Linked DNA regions of Bombyx mori. The protein of the gene in region 1 binds, or shares a complex with, the protein of each later gene. Links are inferred from orthologs where the notes say so. Each region holds a gene or a part of one and is shown on either strand. Other genes may lie near its edges.

Region 1 (3,762 bases):
TTAATTTGAAGGGATTACTTGACGCTTCTAAGTAATATTTACAAGTTTTATAAAATTTGAATACTAACCAGTATCTTCTTCACTGTCTGTGTACTCTGTGTCTGATGAGCCGCTTTCCTCTTTGTCACCTTCCAACATTTCTTCATCTTCATCTCTACCGAGTACTTCTTTTTCAGCTTCCCTACCATTTAATAAATTGATAATTTTATTACATTCAGACGTATTTAATATTTAAGTTCGTAATGCACCTTTTTAAAAAAACACTTGTGCTAACAATGTCTTCCTTTTTTATTGCATAGTGATTGCATAGTGAAGGAACTCAAAACACTTGGAACTCATATATACTACAATGTGAAAACCACTACATTTCAACTACAGCAATCTCCCTTTTGGCTGGGTGGAGAGTCCCATATACTCTTTCAGGAGTTATATTTGAAAGCATAATTCATTTAAAATTATCTATTTCACTGTATTATTGTGAATTTAAAAACTAATATGTTCTACATTTACCTGGCTGCAAGTTTTGCTCTTAGAGCCTGTCTGCGTCTTTCAATCTCTTCCTCATCCAGTTCATCTTCACTCTCGGAACTATCCCTCACGTCATGATCACTGATCTCAGATTCTGCTTCAGGTTCTGCATCAATAATTTCAGGCTTGTGTTCGGCTCTACGCGGCGGTGATTGTGCAATATTACGGAGACGTCGTAATCGAGGATCATCAACCTTAAAAGTGAAATTATACATTTCTACAATGAAGTGAAAAAGATGCAATTAACCTTGACACTTCTGTTATGAGGTACAATTTAAGATGAGCTGCAGAGAGCAGTCCATTTATAGTATTTCTCATTAGTGTTGCTCTTTATAAGTTACCTCTTTCTCAGAATCGCTATGATGTTCTTCTTTGCGGGTGATTATTTGAGGTAAAACTTGTTTCCGTTCAGGTCTTTGTTGCTCTATAAAATCTTCTTCATCTGATTCCTCAGATGATGACATTCCTTGTGCATAGTCAGGCTTTTTTCCAGATATGTATCGCTGAACTTTCACCTTTTGCATCGAGATCTCACCTGAAAATGAAGCCAATTTATGTAAAATAAAATGAAAACTTTGGAAATGCTTCAACTAAGCTGCATTGATTAATGTGAAAATTTCGAATCAATTAACTTTATTTTTATAGAATGGAAGTTTGAAAGCCAGTTTTTTTTTAAATTCATTTTAGGAATACATTATCGTACCTTTTTCATTTCTTATCGGAATTGCTCCCGCTGTACTCTGAATGCCTGTAGGTTGTGCTGGTAGGACATTCATCTTGCCAGTGTTTTCGTTTATAAAACAATGATAGTAGCTACTAGACCCCAATTATTAAATTTTCATTAAATATAAATTACTTGATTTCACAAAGCCTTGTTCAGTTTAAAAGATATTTTACCCATTATTATCCTAAATTACAGTAACGATACGTTTAGTATGATTAGTACTAGCCACAGATAAGATACAGAATTTGACATTACTTCAACAAATTTTTTTCAAACACGCAAATACCCTGACCAAAGGAACAAAGGTCATACAGGCTGTTTTGTTTTAAAACTAAAACCATATCTGTTGTATGAAACTGCTTTAAGCGAAGAGGAAAGTCATAACTTTTTCACATTTACTAAATAAGAAGTAAAGTAATTTGATAAAAAAAAAATCCTGTTGAAGACTTTTTGCAAATTTATTTGCAACAGTGACCACTGATGGTGTAGTGTGTTAATGAGGCTTGCATACATGGCTACAGGACAAGCTGTAGAACATTGTTTATACATAAACCTTTAAAGTATACTTCAGTGCGTTTCATTGACCTATATAGTAGGGACACGACATATTTTTCTATACGTACAATTGCTTATACAAATAACACCCATTTTGAAGGCACACACATAAACATATATCTATCTCGTTCTTACTCAGCACGAGTCAGCACTGTAACTCGCAGGAAAACAATATAACAGTATTTCAGTGCGTACATAAAATGAAACATGAATATACGTAAATGTCTAATGAGGCCGAAAATCCGTCATGCTTAGCGCACCAAATGTCATTGTCACGTCAGTTCAACCGGTTTTTTTTTAATGCTTTGAATGGTGGACGATCTCACAGCCCACCTGGTGCTAAGTGGTTACTGGAGCCCATGGACATCTATAACGTAAATGCGCCACCCACCTTGAGATATAAGTTCTAAGATCTCAGTATAGTTACAACGGCTGCCCCACCCTTCAAACCGAAACGCATTGTTGCTTCACGGCAGAAATAGGCAGGGCGATGGTGCCTACCCGCGCGGAGTCACAAGAGGTCCTACCACCAGGATTTTGGGTTATTGACTTTGATATCGATTTAATATGATTGCTTATATAACATTTCTTATTTTATCATGCTACCCCGCTTAAACCATACAAAAATAATAATTATAACATATTTAATAGGATCTCAAGAAAGTAGATACACCAAAACTAATAACTATATGATAATATATTTAAATTCATTATGGAGCACTCATCCTAAAAATCGGACACAATTTTTTCATATATCTTCTTCTTCTTCTTTATTTTTGGCTCTGGCACGTTTTGTGCATTAGCCAGCGTCAAGTAATAACGTTTTTATAATTCGCCGTTTTATTTATTTACAGTTTATAAATAATAAAAAACGAAGGAAACTTATCGCAACAAAACATAAATGATTTAGAACGAATTGAATTTACAAAAAAAATCAGAATAATTATATAACAGGGAAAATAAATCAAAATTATAGTTTAATGTTATTATTTAAAATAAACCTACTTAAAATACTATATACAAGGGGATTAAAATCTCGAAGAAGTAAAGAAATATTAGTAGGAAGGGGAATAGAGAGAGATACTAAAGAAGTATATAAGGAAGAATGATCATATAAAGAACAAGCAAAGAAAATATGATTCAGGTCACAATAACTCTCGCCACACTCACAGGCGGTACTAGTTACGATACCAAGTTTGTGCAAATGAACTGGAAGGCTGTTATGTCCCAGACGCATACGAATTATAGTAGAAGTGGCGGTTTTACCAAACGACAATTTGGCAAACCATGGCTTCCTGGGAACGGAAGACTGTATAGCATACAAGAAACGACCCTTAATCCGGCCGCTCTCTTCCCAACACATATTCCATGATTTGTGGAGGCATATGCCGGGCAAAGCAGCAAGATCATGGCCAAAATTCTTGTACGGGTATACGTCACCGGTCACAGTTGCACTGTTGGCCAAACTGTCAGCTTTCACATTTCCAGATATGCCACAGTGACTAGGTACCCAACAAAATGATACTAAATAGTTGTGTGATTGGCAGTGCAACAGCTTTCTCTTACATTCAAATATTACATGAAAAAAAGGGTTAAGTTTTAGTGAAAATTTTGCTAAGCTCTGTAATGCACTTAAGGAATCAGTAAATACAACGGTTTTTTTTAGTTTGAAAGACAGCACATATTCAAGAGCTTTTAATAGTCCAAAACATTCACCGGTAAAGACCGATGATTCCGGAGGTAATTTAATTTTCTGAACTATGTTGTACTGTTTGTGATACACTCCAACACCAACACACCCACTGGAGTGTTTAGATGCATCTGTATAAATTTGATGCCAGTTAGGCCATTTACTATTGACATTGCAATTAAAATTTTCATTGGCATTAAAATCAGATTTTTCAATGCCAAGAGAAAAGCAAATCACTGGAGAAAGTAAGAGAGAATCATAAGAA
Region 2 (3,762 bases), on another chromosome or scaffold:
TTACTCAGTTCAGTATATATTTTAATAATACACGCCAGTCGTCAGAGACCCTTCTAGCTCTCTTCGGCGATGATACTAGTTATTACTGGAGTGAGCTGGGAAGATGTCGCTAATTCATCGGCGACTCTAGACCGCAGGATCAGGAGCTTCGGAAGTGGCGTAATTAGTGGTGGTAGAAAGTCTTGTGAGTATCCTTGTGAGTAGTGAGTAGACTTGTGAGTACCTACCGCACGGGTAGGTACCACTACCCTACCTATTTCTGCCGTGAAGTAGTAATGCGGTTCGGTTTGAAGGGTCGGGCAGCCGTTGTAATACTGAGACTGTTAAGTATGTGTGCGTGTGCCTACGCATACGGGGTATTTCAACAAATATAGGGCAGTGTGTTAACAGCAGGCAAGTGTTTCACTCGTGTATCCCTCGTATCTAACAGAGACCTTATAACTTACATCTCAAGGTGGGTGGCGGAATTAACGTTGTAGATGTGTATGTGCTCCAGTAACCACATAACACCAGCTGTAAGCTCGTCCACTCATCTAAGCATTAAAAAAAGAACGATCCTGATGACCGGACAATATACAGTCGCCCTCAGTCTTAACCCGTTATTTCGGGTCAAAGAGTCGTGGGTCCAATTTCCAGGATAAAATGTACTATGCGTACATCGCAAGCTACTAGGCAGGATAAAATGCGTAATGCATATTAAACATAATAATTAAGGCCTATTGGTAGCATAGGAGGCATTGACCATACACTTCACGTTTAGTTTGTAGTCATAAAATTAAATGTTATGTGGGCAACATGGAGTAAGGTTGTAATAGTAACTCTATGGTGGGCAATCTATGTATGGCTTGTAGCTAATCTATGGCGCTGAACTTGAATTGTGTTTATTTCCTTCTGTGTGATTTTATTTTCAATAAAATTTTAGACATTAATTTTGTGACATTGTTTATTATATATGTAAAAATATAAACCTTCAAATTCGCGTAGCAAGTTTTCTGTGGTAACTTCGTATAAAAGACGTTTTATACACAATGTCCATTGAGATAGAATCAGCCGAGTGAGTTTACTATCAATGTAAACACGAAATTACTTGAAATTATTCATCAAATATTTAATTTAGTGCCTAAAATATATTTTTATTTCAATTGCAGTGTTATCAGACTGATACAACAATACTTGAAGGAGTCAAATTTAACCAAAACATTGCAGACTTTGCAGGTTAATTCTGTTGATATTTAATTAAACATATTTTTTAATGAATAGAATTAGTGTAAATTTTTTAAACTTTACAGATTGCACTTATTTTACTTAATTATTCACTTATATTAATGAATTTTGTGTACATTTATGAGAACTTCAATTGTATCAAGTCAGAAAAGAATACCAACTTATTATTGATAAACTCTTAAGCTTTGACACTGGCTAGGATTAATGTTACATACGGCTTTTTTAACTTCAGACAGCATGCAACTTTTAGTAAGATCCACCCATATTGAACAATTTGGGGTTGTGAATTTTTTTTAAATATTGATACCATTCCTGTGCCACTGAAGCTTTAACTTCCAAGATTAGTAGTTGTAATGACCAAATTATATGAGATGTATGCATGTTGTTCACTACTGTTAGGGTGTCTTGTGACCCCCCAATGGTACCTATAAGTTCCTGCCTATTTTTCAATAGAGCAGCCATGTGTACAGGTTTGATAGATGTGACAGCTGTAATACTATGTATAACACTGAAATTTATACCTGAAGTTTCAAGTTAGAAGGATGGCAGTGTTGATATGTCTCAACTAAAGACTCAACACTTAGTTGGCAATGAGCTTGTTCACCATTTTATGCAATAAAAAGCCGTAACTGTACATCTGATTCAGATGTCATCTCTCTGAATTTTGAAAGTAAATGATTTTTAATATATAGGAGGAAACTGGAGTGACTCTAAATACAGTAGACAGCGTGGACGGTTTCTGCGCAGATATTAACAATGGCCACTGGGACACAGTACTTAAAGCTACTGCTTCACTCAAGCTTCCTGACAAAAAGTTGATGGAGTTATATGAGCAGGTTGTATTGGAGTTGATAGAACTGCGAGAATTGGGTGCTGCGAGATCCTTGCTACGTCAGACACATCCTTGTCTGTTGATGAAGCAGCATGAAACAGATCGGTATATGCATCTTGGTGAGTCAAAATTTTAGTATATGTATTTGGCTAAAAATACATCCAGTCTTTAAATCAGATTTGTATCTTAGAATGCTAATGAATATGAATAATATAATATAAAAAGATATAATATTTAAAATAAAACTTATTGCAATACAATAGTAAATAAATGCAATACAATTAAAGTAAATAATACTACTGCTGTAGCAACTTGGCTATGCCTTTGGCATTGTTGATGTCCATTAATGTGACCAGATGGGTGGTCCTAAGCTGATCTAAATAGAGGCAATAAAAACATGTTTAGTTTAAGCAATTTTTATACACATTTCCAATTGTTTTAATCCATAGTTAAATCTGTATGTGTCTGAATGTTTATCTTCATATGACAGAAAACCTGTTAGCACGTTCATATTTCGATCCTCGTGAGGCATACGGCAGTGGAGGAGGCAAGGAGCGGCGCCGCGCTGCCATCGCAGCGTCCCTCGCCGGGGAGGTGTCCGTCGTACCGTCGTCCCGTCTGCTGGCACTACTGGGCCAGGCCCTCAAATGGCAACAGCACCAGGGTCTGCTCCCTCCCGGCACCACTATAGATTTGTTCCGTGGTAAAGCCGCAATAAGAGACCAAGAAGACGATCTCTGCCCCACCCAACTGTCCAAGATCATCAAATTCGGTCAGAAGTCCCACGTGGAGTGCGCGCGATTTTCTCCTGATGGACAATATTTAGTGACGGGCTCCGTAGATGGCGTCGTTGAAGTTTGGAACTTTACAACAGGAAAAATCCGTAAGGATTTGCGTTATCAGGCTCATGATGAGTACATGTGCATGGAAGAGGCGGTGCTGAGCCTGGCTTTTGCGAGGGATAGCGACACATTGGCTGCTGGGTCTAATGATGGAAAAATTAAGGTAATAAATGTTTTAAAACCTCATGCTAGTTAACCTTTTCATTACTGCTTCCGTGTAAAAAGTGAGTTATTATTGCTCCCTAATATATAATTATATAATGCTATGTATATGACCTAATGAGCTCAGAATTCACCTGGGCATCATTAGGTGGTAACAGACAAAACGGAAAGCAATATATATTTCCTAAGATGATTATATACTTTTTGTTGAACATATCGTGCAACCGCAATGTAATGTGAAGTTAAGAGACCTTCTCCTCCCCTTCCCTCCTCTTCTCCACCCCTTCTCCACCCCTTCGCCACCCCTTCCCCGGGCTGCATTGAACTTTGAACATGAAATTTTTTGGTCGTTCAAGATAGTTTCATTGTATCCTTTGTTCAACACATGGGTCATTAAGTAAATTCAACATAATTACTCAATAAAATTCTCTGTGAACAGGTCTGGAAAGTGTCAACGGGTAAAGTGCAACGCAAACTGGACCGAGCTCACTCTAAGGGCGTGACCTGCCTGCAGTTCACCCGAGACAACACTCAGATCCTCTCGGCCTCCTTTGATCGGACCATAAGGTATTTATTTATAAAGTTAAACCTTAAAGTGTACGGGAGGCGTCGATGATCTACCACTGCACTCAGCTGCTAAACGTCTTACTGATACAGATACTGACATCTCAATTTTCATATAGGGCAGGATTTGGTTGGATC
Region 3 (2,813 bases), on another chromosome or scaffold:
AAGGTATTTTATGACCTGGTGACTAAGACCTTTAAGTCATGTCTTATTTTAATTTATAGATTTGGGCGAGATCGTTATCTTAGCCCAGACTCAACAGAAACGACTTAGAGTAGAGAGATGAGCGCTCTTTTAACGCCCAGCCAACTGATTTTGTTGTTGAATTGTTTATTGTCCTCGAAAAGTCAGTCAGTCAAAGTAGTCACGTGCGATTTACATATCCCAAAATCCCAAATCCCAAAAACTAAAGTTGATGTGAGTTTTGACATATACAGGACTACTGGAGTCAGTGAAAAGCTTTCATCTAGCACATGAAAAACATGCCCTCATACCAAGTCCGGTAGTGGACATTGTAGCCTTATAATTTATATTTTTTAATTGGAAAAAGCATTTGGAACATGTTACATTTACATGGTGTCGTTTTTTCTAGCCTTTTCCAAATAAATATGGTAATATTATCCTGTCTGCTAAATCAAAGTTCATAATTATACCTTGATAAAACAAGGTCAGGGCAAATAGAATTATTAGCCAAATAATAATTAAAACATTCAATGAAACATTATTGTACCACACAGTATTTATTAATATAAGCTTTACATTTTAAAACATATCATTTTTTAGATCCTCCAAAGCCAGAAAACCCCATAATTTGTGCTAATTCAGAAGGTGCTGGTGTATCATCTATTTCATCATTCTCCATTAACTTCCGTTTCTTGTCCCGACGTCTCTCCCTACGTAGCTCTTTCACACGAGCTTCTTCTTCAGCGGCTTCCTTTAATCTTGTGTCTAATTCATATTCACGCTTTTTCTCTTCCAACTTTCGTTTATTGAGTGCAAATCTTGCTTTTACCTGGAACCAAACAAATATAATGTAGTAGTAGTAGCTATGATAGAATAGAATAAATATTATTAAAACCTGAATGGTATTTATAAAATTGAGAACAGCTAGATGAGTTAGATAGATTATTTCAAATTAGTGGTCTAGAAATTTAAATCATCTATTTGGTTGAACATTTTACATTTATTATTCCTTAACAATAGCATTAGAACTTGATAAAATTAAGATTGAAAGAATTTGTTGAGAATTATTTTAATATTGAGTGCTCTAGTTGAGTGGGATGGTAGGTTTGCTCAACTCAGGCAATCACAAAAATAATAGCGTTGGTTCATGATGTTTGTTATTATTTTGATGCAACAGTGGCCAATTGATGATCTCAGACCATAAATCTAGTAGCAAGTCAACAATCCTATTTACCTGCTTGGTACTATGCATATACATACATGTGAAAAAGTAAGCTCACCTGATCTAAGCTGCTCCTTTCTATTTTCATGGACATTCCCAGATTCCTCTGATGTTTTTTACCATTGATGTGATCAAGGAAATTTATTGAATCTTTAACAACACAGTCACAAACATTACAATAATATCCTCCAGATTGGGACGTTGGCGTATTCTTATTGATTACTACACTCTTCCCGAGTCTCGAGTCCAAATCTACTTTATATTCACGTTGTTTGAGAAGTTCACGTTTGACTGGAGTGGCTGGAAAATGAAAATTAAACAAACATTTATATATTGTGTCAAATTTGTATTTTAACGTAACAAAGTGTGTTGACACAAATATTTTACCTTTCTTCTTGGATTTTTCTTCTTCTTCTAGCTCTGCTTTCAAACGCTCGGCTGCAATTTTCTCGAATTCCTCTTTGTCCCATTTTCTTCGGTGGTCATCGGGGCGCATACTCATGTTTAAATTTTATAGTATTTATTTCACAACAATTACAAGTTATGATTTTCTTACACACTCCACTTGTTTGTTTTATATTAAACGTGTACCCAGAGGGAAGAGTAATCAATTAGATCTATTAAAAAAATAACACGAGAAAATCATCCTTAACAACACAAACGAAATGTTTCTAATTGACAACTAGCAGTGACAAAACTGACAAATGATTAGTTGTAGTATTTCCATTTTCTAACAAGAAAGGCGAAAGCATATATATATTATACAGCCTAATCTTTTATATATTCAGTTACATGAAAATTAATATAATAGGTTGGGGAAAAAGTTTCTTCGCATTTTTTAAGAAAATTAACAAATTTTTTTAATAGTTTATTTACATTTAACTTAAGTATGTAGGTATCATTTTGTTCGATAGCTTTTTGCCATTTTGTAAATAGGGACATGATCCCATTGCTATAAAAAATTTGGGGCTTCTGATCAAAATACCGAGACAATTGGTTTTGGCAGTCCTCTCGTGATGTTAATCTGACACTGCCTAAAGAATTCTGAAGAACCGAAACAGGTGGAAACCTGAAGGTGCAAGGTCAGGACGGATATACGGATAAACAGCGGATGCATTAACATCTTCCAGTCAAGCTCTCTTAATTTTTGCTGAATGGCTAAAGATGTGTAAGGTCACATTGTTATCATGATGAAAAGCCACACTCCTTCTGTTGATTAATTCTGGCCACTTTCTCTCAACTTCTTCCTTTAATCTCATCAGTTGTTCGCAGTAGAGTTCAGAATCAATGGTCTTGCCTGGTGGTAACAGCTCATAATGAATAATGTCCTTCCAATTCCACTACACAAACAGCATCACCTTGTTGCAAGTTAACCCAGGTTTTGCCACAGTCTGTGAAGCCTGACGGACCTTTGACCACGACTTTTTTCGTACGTTCTTGTCGTGCGTGATCCACTTTTCATCACCAGTTATCAGCTTCTTCAAACATGGTTCGGTTTCATTACGTCGTAATAAAGAATCACAAATGAGTACACGGTTCATTAGGTTTCTTTCAGTGAGCTCGTGAGGTACCC

The links.
Region 2: microfibrillar-associated protein 1 (region 1) and WD40 repeat-containing protein SMU1 share a complex: the UniProt entries of both Homo sapiens proteins name them as parts of the spliceosome B complex. The link is inferred for Bombyx mori from reciprocal best matches to the Homo sapiens genes MFAP1 and SMU1.
Region 3: microfibrillar-associated protein 1 (region 1) and zinc finger matrin-type protein 2 share a complex: the UniProt entries of both Homo sapiens proteins name them as parts of the spliceosome B complex. The link is inferred for Bombyx mori from reciprocal best matches to the Homo sapiens genes MFAP1 and ZMAT2.

Annotation. Positions count from the first base shown.
Region 1 is NC_085127.1:8,423,841-8,427,602, forward strand, and holds the start of microfibrillar-associated protein 1, read right to left. Parts: upstream 2,388-3,762; 5' UTR 1,305-2,387; coding exon 1,232-1,304; intron 1,064-1,231; coding exon 870-1,063; intron 723-869; coding exon 511-722; intron 182-510; coding exon 69-181; intron 1-68. UniProt on the Homo sapiens protein: Involved in pre-mRNA splicing as a component of the spliceosome.
Region 2 is NC_085112.1:943,369-947,130, forward strand, and holds the start of WD40 repeat-containing protein SMU1, read left to right. Parts: upstream 1-827; 5' UTR 828-1,028; coding exon 1,029-1,054; exon of another isoform or gene 1,055-1,071; intron 1,072-1,148; coding exon 1,149-1,215; intron 1,216-1,916; coding exon 1,917-2,175; intron 2,176-2,546; coding exon 2,547-3,061; intron 3,062-3,499; coding exon 3,500-3,627; intron 3,628-3,762. UniProt on the Homo sapiens protein: Involved in pre-mRNA splicing as a component of the spliceosome. Regulates alternative splicing of the HSPG2 pre-mRNA. Required for normal accumulation of IK.
Region 3 is NC_085128.1:9,737,978-9,740,790, forward strand, and holds zinc finger matrin-type protein 2, read right to left. Parts: upstream 1,946-2,813; 5' UTR 1,743-1,945; coding exon 1,628-1,742; intron 1,541-1,627; coding exon 1,299-1,540; intron 848-1,298; coding exon 608-847; 3' UTR 557-607; downstream 1-556. UniProt on the Homo sapiens protein: Involved in pre-mRNA splicing as a component of the spliceosome.